4 linked regions of the Saccharomyces cerevisiae S288C genome follow. The main gene of each other region encodes a partner of the protein of the gene in region 2 in a complex. Each region holds a gene or a part of one and is shown on either strand. Other genes may lie near its edges. The genes, in order: MRPS9, RSM25, RSM18 and RSM19.

Evidence for each region.
Region 1: RSM25 (region 2) and MRPS9 share a complex: the UniProt entries of both Saccharomyces cerevisiae proteins name them as parts of the mitochondrial small ribosomal subunit.
Region 3: RSM25 (region 2) and RSM18 share a complex: the UniProt entries of both Saccharomyces cerevisiae proteins name them as parts of the mitochondrial small ribosomal subunit.
Region 4: RSM25 (region 2) and RSM19 share a complex: the UniProt entries of both Saccharomyces cerevisiae proteins name them as parts of the mitochondrial small ribosomal subunit.

Annotation. Positions count from the first base shown.
Region 1 is NC_001134.8:533,406-536,668, reverse strand, and holds MRPS9 (mitochondrial 37S ribosomal protein uS9m MRPS9), read right to left. Parts: upstream 1,410-3,263; coding exon 573-1,409; downstream 1-572. Other genes in the region: RTC2 (cationic amino acid transporter), read right to left, coding at 1-94; alcohol dehydrogenase ADH5, read right to left, coding at 1,852-2,907; YBR144C (uncharacterized protein), read left to right, coding at 3,120-3,263. UniProt on the Saccharomyces cerevisiae protein: Component of the mitochondrial ribosome (mitoribosome), a dedicated translation machinery responsible for the synthesis of mitochondrial genome-encoded proteins, including at least some of the essential transmembrane subunits of the mitochondrial respiratory chain.
Region 2 is NC_001141.2:187,409-190,289, reverse strand, and holds RSM25 (mitochondrial 37S ribosomal protein mS23 RSM25), read left to right. Parts: upstream 1-1,505; coding exon 1,506-2,300; downstream 2,301-2,881. Other genes in the region: YIL092W (uncharacterized protein), read right to left, coding at 1-1,224; LYS12 (homoisocitrate dehydrogenase), read left to right, coding at 2,658-2,881. UniProt on the Saccharomyces cerevisiae protein: Component of the mitochondrial ribosome (mitoribosome), a dedicated translation machinery responsible for the synthesis of mitochondrial genome-encoded proteins, including at least some of the essential transmembrane subunits of the mitochondrial respiratory chain.
Region 3 is NC_001137.3:253,466-256,324, forward strand, and holds RSM18 (mitochondrial 37S ribosomal protein bS18m RSM18), read right to left. Parts: upstream 923-2,859; coding exon 506-922; downstream 1-505. Other genes in the region: TPA1 (oxidative DNA demethylase), read left to right, coding at 1-197; JHD1 ([Histone H3]-lysine-36 demethylase), read left to right, coding at 1,191-2,669. UniProt on the Saccharomyces cerevisiae protein: Component of the mitochondrial ribosome (mitoribosome), a dedicated translation machinery responsible for the synthesis of mitochondrial genome-encoded proteins, including at least some of the essential transmembrane subunits of the mitochondrial respiratory chain.
Region 4 is NC_001146.8:694,552-697,093, forward strand, and holds RSM19 (mitochondrial 37S ribosomal protein uS19m RSM19), read right to left. Parts: upstream 777-2,542; coding exon 501-776; downstream 1-500. Other genes in the region: mitochondrial 37S ribosomal protein uS12m MRPS12, read right to left, coding at 1-271; putative ATP-dependent RNA helicase DBP6, read left to right, coding at 1,044-2,542. UniProt on the Saccharomyces cerevisiae protein: Component of the mitochondrial ribosome (mitoribosome), a dedicated translation machinery responsible for the synthesis of mitochondrial genome-encoded proteins, including at least some of the essential transmembrane subunits of the mitochondrial respiratory chain.

The sequences.
Region 1 (3,263 bases), on a different chromosome or scaffold from region 2:
GTGGTACAAACACAACAATCCAACAGCATATTGATATGGATCCAGCCATCCCACTGAGATTCTTAGCATTCAAAATAATTGGGATCAGCTTCATGGCAGAAATTTAGGGATGCTCGCTTGAGGCTATTACGTCTGGGTTATAACAAAATATTGTGGGATATTACAGGAGAATAGTTTATTTATATGCCTGAACCCGGTGTTATTTGTAGTATTTATGGTTTATATTATGACTCTTTTTACATGTAACGGTCATAGTAAAATCTATTCTGATTTGCATCTTATCATCTCCTTCTTTTTTCCAATGGAATTTGAGTCATTGCTGCAAGGCCCCTTTGCTTTGCGGGTGAGAGGAAAAAAAAGATGAAGTATTATGTGCAGTAAGTAGAAGAAAATACTAACTGAGCAATATTCGAATACATATAACTTTATTTACAGGAATAACGAACGAGAGTTGTGCTTCTAATGCTGGGCGGCGTTGTATGCAAAATATATAACGTTTCTTCTGGCATGTGTCAAAAAACTCAGAGCACGCACGCTTCCGTTCGAAATTGAGGTAACAAGATGCACTAAGACTATCTCTTGACCCATGTTGGCATCTTTCTTGCCTTCTTTTTTCCTGGCTTCTTTCTTTCGACGTGCCTGTAATCTCTTGTTAAGACGCCAGCTTTATGTAGTCTGGATTTTAATAATGGATTGAACACAACCAAAGCTTTCGCAATGGCGTGCATGATTGATTCAGCCTGACCCGTAGGTCCGCCTCCAGACGTTGTCGCAAAAATATTGTACTTTCCAACTGATTCGATCACTTGAAGTGGATACATGATTGATTCTCTGTCTTTCATCTTAAGGAAGTAATCATTCAATTGTCGACCATTAACTAATATCTCACCTGTACCTCTAACAACGAATACTTTCGCAGTGGAACTTTTCCTTTTTCCAACGGCTATACTTCTTCCAAACTCATCTAAAGTTTTGATTTTGATATTATTGGAAAGCATTGAACTTTTTTTATAATATTGGGATAGTTCGGATGTGATTTCATCATTAGTAAGTTGAGGATCAATGTTGTGAAGTTTATTCAACATATACAGTAGCTGAGTATATTGCGTAGGCTTTAATTTCGTACCACCGCCGATTAAAGCGTACTCATCGAAAGAAATCCAAGGAGCTTTTGTTTGTTGTGCTTCATTGTTGTTCTGAGATGGCAGTTTTATGTATTTCCTTAGAAGTCTTTCGAGTCGATTAATACGATCTTCATGGTTAGGATTCGCCGAATAAAATGTGGCTAGCTTTGGGACGATCCTTCTGGGCAATTCATCCTCGGTTTTTTGATAAATAGTCCTAAAAGACATTCTCATAGGGGCAGGAGCCAGAGCTGCCCTTCGAAACAAAGAAAGCCTTGAAAACATTCCGCTTGGCTCAAACTCTGTCCACAACGAGTAAATTTTAGCTAATCAATTTAACCAATTTCTACTCCTCCTGGTTTCAGTTTCCAGTCGACATTATTAAATTTCTTTTCCGTAAATGGCCTATTTCAGTTTGTCTTACGCACGCAGTTGCTAGTTTTAAATATATCATTTTATACGTAAAGTTCATCTATATATCACATTATATGTCTCGTAAAACAATGGATTACAAAGAATTAGATATTGAAACGTTTGTATAGGTTGTTCTTGTAAGGCAAAATACCAAATGTCCACCGGTTCTCGCAAAGTACAGAATCACTCGCTATTTACTGAAGTTCAGAAATGGAGTAATTCTCATTGTTACAAATAAATCGTAAAAAGTCAATATCTACAAAATAGCTTATATAAAAAGTAAAAATATATTCATCAAATTCGTTACAAAAGATCATTTAGAAGTCTCAACAACATATCTACCAACAATTTCACCCTTCTCCATCTTTGCAAAAATTTCAGGAACATCCGATAGGCCAGCTAAGTGGATCGGAGATTTGATCAAACCTCTGGCGAAGAAATCTAAAGCCTCCCTTGTATCAGCTCTATTTCCAACACAAGATCCAACGATGGAGATTGATTTTACAACTTGATTGAAAACATCGGAATTGCAGTAAGCATGAGCTGGCATACCAACCAGGACGACAGTACCATTGGGCCTACAATACCTCGTAGAAGCCTCGATAGCTGCTTCAGAAACAGACACATTAATAACTCCATGAGAACCGCCATTAGTGGCCTTTATTATAGCACCAACAATGTCTTTTTCTTCCGTGAAATCGATGAATATTTCTCCGCCTAATTGTTCAAATAACTTTCGCTTGGCATTACCACCATCGATACCAATGACCCTGTAACCCATAGCAAGGGCGTATTGGATTGCCAGAGAACCCAAGCCACCGCATGCACCGGATATAGTGACCCATTGGCCTGGTATCACATTGGCTCTTTTCAACGCCTTATAAACAGTGATACCTGCACACAAGATTGGGGCAACTTCAGCAAGATTGACGTTTGGTGGAATATGGGCAGCTTGAACGGCATCGGCAGTTGCGTATTCTTGAAAAGTACCATCATGTGTGAAGCCAGTACCATCCAAATAAGGACATTGAGATTCATTACCTACTTCACAATATTCACAGGACATGCAAGTCCCATTCAACCATTTTATACCTGCAAAATCACCGACTTTCCAGCCCTTAACGTTAGATCCCAACTTAACAACAACACCAGCACCTTCGTGACCACCGATTAATGGAAATTTCAATTGAAATGGCCAATCACCGTGCCACGCGTGCAAGTCACTATGACAAACACCAGAATATTTAACGTGGACTAAAATTTCGTTAGGCTTAGGTTCCGGAACTGTGACGTCTTTATATTCCAATTTTCCATCTGTCTCATAAAAGACAATAGCCTTTTGTTTTTCAGGAATGACTTGCGAAGGCATGATGCTTTGATTTTGTAGATATGTAGTTAAATAATTTTCTTAGGTATCTTCCAATCAGAGACATTGTGAGACAGTAAAGCAGTAGTTTGCGCTAGAAATATCTTGTAGTCCCTCTTTTATATTCGTAGTATGTTATATAGATTACAATCTAGACAATACGAAGGAACGATCCCGCGTCAGCAGATGTCACAATTTGATTATTTCATTGTCACATGCTTTTTGACTCATCCTTCCGCGAAAGGAGAACTTTTTACAATGCCGCCGGCTCTGTTAGCGTACCCTTCTACAAGCAGATAGCAGAACAAACACATGATATATTCAAAAGGTGCAATGTCAGAGAACATATATTGCGCCCC
Region 2 (2,881 bases):
CCTCTCATTCAAAGAACGTGAGTTTCCATCCATACGTTCATCATAAGTTGTAGTTTCCTCCTTCGTGCCTAAAACTTCATCATTAATTAGGTCAATATTAATTGTGCCTGTAACCAAACTGCCGCTATTCAAAATCGATATTGGCTCCACTGCACATTGTTGAGATTTACTGTTTTTAAGATTCGTATGGAGATCGCTTAAATTGGTGTGTCCATTTTTTGATGTGTATGCATTGGCAGAAACATTCCTAGATGTAAGAATATTCTTTTCCTCATCCATGACAAGAAAGAGCCGCATTCCAGGTTCATTTTGTTTCCGACGTTTAGGATCGGGTATGTGTTGACTGTTCTTATCAAAGTAATTTTTCTTATCACTCTTTTCAATAACCTTATTCTTACTTATAGTTTTAGTATTCGATAATTTGCTAACGATAGCAGTATTCTTACTCTTTGGAGTACAAATGTCGGAATCCCTCGTATTTTTATACCGGTATTTTTTATGATTAGATGCTCTCTTCGCAAATTCACAGGCAGTTATCAATAGTGCTAAATTCAAAGTCATTGGGAATGCACAATTTTCCAGTTGCTTTTGCAACTGTGGCTCCAATTTTGTGAGGAATAGATCCAACGCAGCACCAGAAGACAGATAATATGGAGTTAGACGTCCCGATTTATGGGCAAATGCTTCTAATGACTTCTCAGAATCAATGGACAACGTCAATAGTTCCGTAAAAATTTCCCTTCTTAAAGATCTTGCTCCATCAAATTCTTCTGATAGTAGAGCAAGAAATTTTTCAAAACTGTAAGCCTTTATCACATGGTCATCGATTCCCTCCGTTGTAGAATCAAACCATGTCTTAGCCCGGCCGGATAATGCAGAGCTTATAAGAAGTTTCAAAAACGTTCCTGTACAGCATAGTCCAAATAAGATATCTGTAATATCATCGGCCCATTGGACGAATATATTGTTATCATCACCGTCTTCAGCACTGAATTTTTTCAGATGACTCACTTTATCTAGCATTTTGAACGCTTGTTCATCGTCATCAATCTGTCTTGTAACACAAAAATTATTACACGCTATGGGCAAAGTTTCGCTCCTCTTTCTACGTCCACTGTGTCCCTTCTTGCTTCGCGGCGGCAGGGTATTTCCATTAGCTATTGTATCACTATAGTTATTAGTTCCCGACTCGTATGCCATGTTTTTGGATCTCATTTGCACCATTAAGCAAAAAGAATCTGTTGAACGAGGACCCTAACCCAAGACAGCTAATATACTGCTTTTTTATGACATTTTTCATTTGGTCTTCATTCTTGCGCATCTTCTTTGAGAGTTGAAATTTCTTTGATACTTCGGCAATTACAGAAAAGTGCAAGTTACAAGCAATAAAACCAATAATATTTAGATACTGCACAAAAGTCTAAGAAAATAACCTCATTAGAAGCTTGGAAAAGGAAGAAGGACATTGCGCACCATTCAAGAAGAAGATCTTAGAATTCTGAGAAATGAAGATACAAACAAATGCTGTAAACGTCCTTCAACGGACGTCCGCTTACTTGAAATCAGGATTGTTGAAAGAAACACCTGCGTGGTACAACGTTGTAGCGTCTATCCCACCATCAACCAAGTTTACACGTGAACCTCGTTTTAAGAATCCTTCCAATGGACACATCATAGGAAAACTTGTTGACGTAACAGAACAACCGCATGCCAACAATAAGGGACTTTACAAGACAAGACCCAACTCGAGCGACAAAAGGGTGGGCGTGAAAAGGCTGTACAGGCCACCTAAACTAACATACGTTGAGGATAGGCTCAGATCGCTCTTTTACAAACAACATCCATGGGAGTTGTCGAGACCTAAGATTTTAGTGGAAAACGAAATTGGTGATGAAAACTACGATTGGAGCCATATGCTTCAGATAGGAAGACCACTCGATGGTGAAAGTGTTATCCAGCGAACTATGTACTTAATCAAAACGAAGCAGTATGGGGACATGGTCGAAGCATATGACCATGCCAGATATGAATTCTATGCGTTGAGAATGCAAGAAGAAACAGAGCAGCAAGTGGCTTTGGAAGAAGCGGAGATGTTCGGATCCCTCTTTGGAGTTTCTGCCATTGAACATGGTATACAAAAGGAACAAGAGGTCCTAGACGTCTGGGAAAAGAAGGTAGTTGAAGAAACTGAACTAATGGCAGCAAGGACAAGTAACCCTGCAGGGTCGTGGAAGGACGACACTACATTGAATACGGCGCAAGAAGAAGAATCCACCACTTCCGAGAACCTCCACTTCTAGGTGGGCTGCCTCTTTTCTCCAACGTCACCTAACCAACCTGTATATAATTAAAAACAAACGAGAACAACACATGTAGTGCTAAGTAATTGTCGTTCTCAAATTCCACCTCGATTTTTTCAACTGCACTGAAAATTCCCACTCTTTTTTTTTTTTTTTTTTTTTTTTTTCACTTTTTTCCCGTGGAAAAATATTCTTAAGATGACTCTAATTAGAGGAAAGAACAACAAGAAACTAAACTGGTTCTACAGTTATATAAGGACATCTTAACTGATTTAGAATTAGCTAAGACTGTATCTATGCGATTATTATATTAGTGCGACATATTTATATAACTAAGATAGTAACGCACTCAAAAAGATGTTTAGATCTGTTGCTACTAGATTATCTGCCTGCCGTGGGTTAGCATCTAACGCTGCTCGCAAATCACTCACTATTGGTCTTATCCCCGGTGACGGTATCGGTAAGGAAGTCATTCCTGCTGGTAAGCAAGTTTTGGAAAACCTTAACTCCAAGCACGGCCTAAGCTTCAACTTTATTGATCTCTACGCCGGTTTCCAAACATTCCAAGAAACAGGAAAGGC
Region 3 (2,859 bases), on a different chromosome or scaffold from region 2:
GTGCGGATGACAGTGGTGATTCAGTATTGATTAATGATCCACCTGCTTGGAATACTTTCAATTTGGTCTTGAGAGATGAAAGTGTTTTGGAGTTTGTTAAGTACGTCAGCTGGAGCGCTAAATCTAGTAGATGGGATGTCAAAATGAAGTGGGATGTCAAATCATGTGATGAAGATGGTCAGGAAGATGAAGCGTAAACAATTAACCCGTCTTATTAAGTAAATGGCAGCTTAGATATTTATAAAGTTGTATAATAGAAGTAATAAAATTATTTGAAAAGTTATTCGTCAATTTCAGCTTATTCCTCTGGCGTGAATATCATTACCATAATCCAAATTCGAGTAAGCGAATAAAACGGGTATATTAAAGAAATATAAGAATGAATATAAGTTTAACTTAAGATCTAATTGCGATTCTTTTTACATATTGTATATTTACAGACAGAACTATGAAATGCCTTATTTTCTTAATTATTTCATGTGGAGAAGCATTAGTGTAGTACAGTTCACATTAATCCTATTGCCTGGCACCGTCTAATGGCTTTCGATAGTCTTCTTTGATTCTTTGCCGATAAGCCTGTGATATCCCTATGTTGGATTCTTCCCGTGGAGGTCACATATCTTGAAAGTATTCTTGGTCTTGCATAAAATTCTAGTGGATTTGCACCGGACTTCATTATATCGTTCCTGTTTGAGTTCTTGTTTGCCTGATATTTTCTATCTAAATGGATTCGTCCCATAGAGAAGTCAAATGGATCGTAGATAGTACCTTTGGGAAGTTTTTTGGACAAAGACTGATCGATTTTCTTTGTTTGTTGCGTTCTCCCCATTTCAATATTGACACTCTTCTTTTCTTTGATACCGAAATTGTATAGAGCACGTTTAAATGTGGAGCTTACTGCTCCCTTGATGATAGGTTGCATACCGTTTTGAATTTTTATGCCTGTGGTGGCATTCATCTTGAACATCCGAAGTTTTGTGTAGAACCTTGCCTTTTTGGTTAGAACTGTAACACTGTTAATAATGGACTCATATTTAAGTATGTAAAGTAATCCTAGATATTTTTTCCCCCAACAGGTTACCCTACAATGCAATTTAAAGGCATAATAGAACATCTAATAGAAGTGGGTGATTATAATGAGTAAGAAGACGTAATGATCATAAAACAAAATACTAATAAGCTATGGTGCAATGCAAGATCCCAATATTTGCCAGCATTGCCAGTTGAAGGATAATCCAGGCGCATTAATTTGGGTGAAGTGTGATAGTTGCCCGCAGTGGGTCCACGTGAAATGCGTGCCTTTGAAACGCATTCACTATTCAAATCTTACAAGTTCTGAAGTTCTGTCTTATCCAAATTCTGCGAAGCAAATCAAGAGCTACCGTTGTCCTAATCATAAGGAAGGAGAATATCTTACCGCATACGCTCTCATCACACAAAAAGGAAAGCGGCAAAGGAATAAAGAAAACCCTGAAGATAGTCATATAAATAAGCGGTATAATTTCAGAAAGAAGAAATTACTTGACTATATCGCTTTGAATGAGGGTGAATCGAAAAGGGATAAAATGAATCACCCTCATAAGGAGAGTTTCATGAAATCTTTTGAAAAATGGAAAAATGGCTCAAATATTATAAACGCCGCTGACTTTGCTGAAAAGTTTGATAATATAGATGTGCCGTACAAGATCATCGATCCACTGAATAGCGGAGTATATGTACCGAATGTGGGCACAGACAATGGATGCCTCACAGTTAATTATATCACCGAAATGATAGGCGAGGATTATCATGTTGATGTAATGGACGTTCAATCACAAATGAATGAAAATTGGAACTTGGGATCTTGGAATGAATATTTTACAAATACTGAACCAGACAGGAGGGATCGAATAAGGAATGTTATATCATTAGAAGTCTCTAATATTGAGGGATTAGAACTAGAGAGGCCCACTGCAGTTAGGCAGAATGATCTTGTTGATAAAATTTGGAGTTTCAATGGACATTTAGAAAAAGTCAATGGGGAGAAGGCGGAGGAGAATGACCCCAAGCCAAAAGTGACCAAATATATTTTGATGTCTGTAAAGGATGCTTATACGGATTTTCATTTGGATTTTGCCGGTACCTCTGTTTATTATAACGTTATCTCAGGACAGAAGAAGTTTTTATTATTTCCACCTACCCAATCAAACATAGATAAGTATATTGAGTGGTCTTTAAAAGAAGACCAAAATAGTGTTTTCCTCGGTGATATTCTTGAGGATGGTATTGCGATGGAATTAGATGCTGGTGATTTGTTTATGATTCCAGCTGGATATATTCATGCAGTTTATACACCAGTAGACTCTTTGGTATTTGGAGGCAACTTTTTAACCATCCGTGATTTGGAGACACACCTTAAAATTGTGGAAATTGAAAAGTTAACAAAGGTTCCTAGAAGATTTACCTTCCCGAAGTTTGATCAAGTGATGGGTAAATTATGCGAGTATCTTGCGCTTGATAAAAATAAAATCACTAGTGATGTCAGTGATGGGGATTTGCTTTCCAGGACCACTAATTGCGCAATTCAATCACTTCATGCATACGTTATAAAACCTGAAGTTAAGTACAAGCCGTTAAATTTCACTTCAAAGAAGCATTTAGCGAAAGCTTTAGCCGATCTTATTTCGTAAAATTTCTTCTTGTCCGCCACGTTCTTGTATCTTTTATTTCATCCTATGCTCTCGATGAATGAGATCTACTTTAGCAATTGATACAGTATAACCCTGACATTACATTTAGGGAATAATCGCCCCAATATAGGTTACAAAACATTAATATATATGTAAATATATGTGCGCGTATATATATATATATATATAT
Region 4 (2,542 bases), on a different chromosome or scaffold from region 2:
CCACGTTCCCGTTAGTCAAACGGACCCTGCACGCCTTTCTCTGCGCAGAATTCGGCTTCTTGGGCTTTAAAACCATTACACGTAATACGACACCCTTCCGCTGGGGACACTGATCCAGTTGTGGAGCTGTACTTATCTTCTTGCGTCTTGGAGGCCCGGAGCCTCTTTTAATCTGATTCAATGTCGCTTGCATTGTCGTAGTGGAGGAAAACAATCTCTGCGCCTGTCTCAAGGGCGTACACCATGTGTTGGACATAAACCTCGACAACATGGCTCTTGTTGGCCTGCTTCAATTCTGGTGTACCTGTAAGTTCTCCGTCTTTTCCCTGGTTATATGCGTTTTTTCTCCCCAAATCGTTTTGTCGCTCGGGTAAGACTGAAATGCTTTTAAAAGCACTATTACTGTTTATTATGCTATATATATATATATATACAGCCCGAGTCTGGCTTGATCTTATTTACATGATATATCATCTAGAAATCTATATACACTAGATCCCTCATTTGTTCTTGGTTTGAGTATAGCTGAAACGCTTCCTGGTAGGTGCGAACTCGCCCAGTTTGTGGCCCACCATATCTTCTGATATTTCAATAGGTACGTACTCCTTACCATTGTGTATTTGAAATTTCAGTCCCACGAACTGAGGAAGGATGGTGGCGGCCCTTGCGTTTGTTCTTATTGGAGTGCCCTTAGTCATGGCCTCCCTTATGGGTAATGGCACGATGTTGGGGCCCTTCCATACGGACCGCGATAAAAGTCTAGCTGCCGGTTGCATTTTATTTTTGGTGGACACTACTTCTGCCGATGCTGTACTGCTCTTGCAATGAACCTCACCGTTTTAAGTCATGGTTAGATTCTTACTAGGCGCTTCCAATTGCCATTTCTTGCTCAGCCATAACCGTGAATAGTGATCCAAACGCTAATGCCGGGTGATGCTTAAAATTTGAAAAATTATTGCAGATTTGTATTATATAGAAAGCATAACTGGCGATGAGATGTGCTCGAAACTGGACACCTTTACCATTGGTGACCGGTAGTGACAATGTTTGCATCGAGATTTGACCCTAGCCAATTGACTGCTCCTGCAGCTAGCGCACCAGAAGGAATCGTCGGAACTACTCCCCCGGCCATTGTGCCTTTAAAGAGGCAGGCTACTGAATCTGATAATGAAGAATATGGCTCTCACCAAGATTCTGATGAGAGTTCCAACTCTAGTTCAGAGGAAGACGAAGACCGTATGCAAGTAGATTATGGGGCTAGTGAAGAGGATTCGAGTGAAGTGGAAGAGGAAGAGAGTAAGCCAAGTACTCACAGCACAGTGCTATCGAGATTCAAGCAAACAGTATCATTGCAAGAAAGGCTAGGTGCATCTGATATTGCTGAGAGTAAGGAAGACGAAGGTATTGAAGACGAGGCGGCCTCAACTCACCAACTAAAACAGATTCCTCAACCTGAATTCGTCAAAAACCCAATGAATTTGAATACAAATTCATTACAGTTCAAATCTACGGGTTGGTTAAATACTGAGAAGATATATTATGATAATTCCTTGATCAAACCGTTCTCGGATTACGCAAATGAATTAGAAGCAAAACTACTGCAGAATATTTGCAAGAATTTCTCTACAAACACTTTTCCCATCCAATCGATCATCCTAGACTCCATATTACCGGTATTGAACTTCACGTTGAACGTATCTAAGAGAAACTTCACCAGAAGAATCGGTGATATTCTTGTAAATGCTGCTACCGGTTCAGGTAAAACTTTGGCTTACTCCATTCCTATTGTTCAAACCCTCTTCAAGAGACAAATTAACAGACTGCGTTGTATAATCATCGTCCCCACAAAACTATTGATAAACCAAGTTTATACTACGTTGACAAAGCTAACTCAAGGGACGTCGCTTATTGTGAGCATTGCCAAATTAGAAAATTCTTTGAAGGACGAACACAAAAAATTATCAAATTTGGAACCAGATATCTTAATCACTACACCTGGTAGATTAGTAGATCATCTAAATATGAAATCGATAAATTTGAAAAACCTAAAGTTTTTGATTATCGATGAGGCTGATCGTCTTTTGAACCAGTCCTTCCAGGGCTGGTGTCCAAAACTAATGTCCCATTTGAAAACGGATAAATTAGATACACTTCCAGGGAACGTGATCAAAATGATCTTCAGTGCGACATTGACTACCAACACAGAAAAGTTAAACGGCTTGAACCTTTACAAACCAAAGTTGTTCCTGAAGCAAACCGATAAATTGTACCAGCTACCTAACAAATTGAATGAATTTAACATCAACATTCCCACGGCGAAAAGTGTTTACAAGCCATTGATATTGTTGTATTCAATATGCCAATTTATGGCACATTCCCCCATTGCTGCAAAGATTTTGATTTTCGTTAAATCAAATGAATCGTCTATCAGATTAAGCAAGTTACTACAACTTATCTGTGAATCTCGCTCACAATCCAGCGTATTGAAAAACCTTCAAAATTTGGCGGTGAGTATTAATTCTGTCAATTCAAACAACTCCAA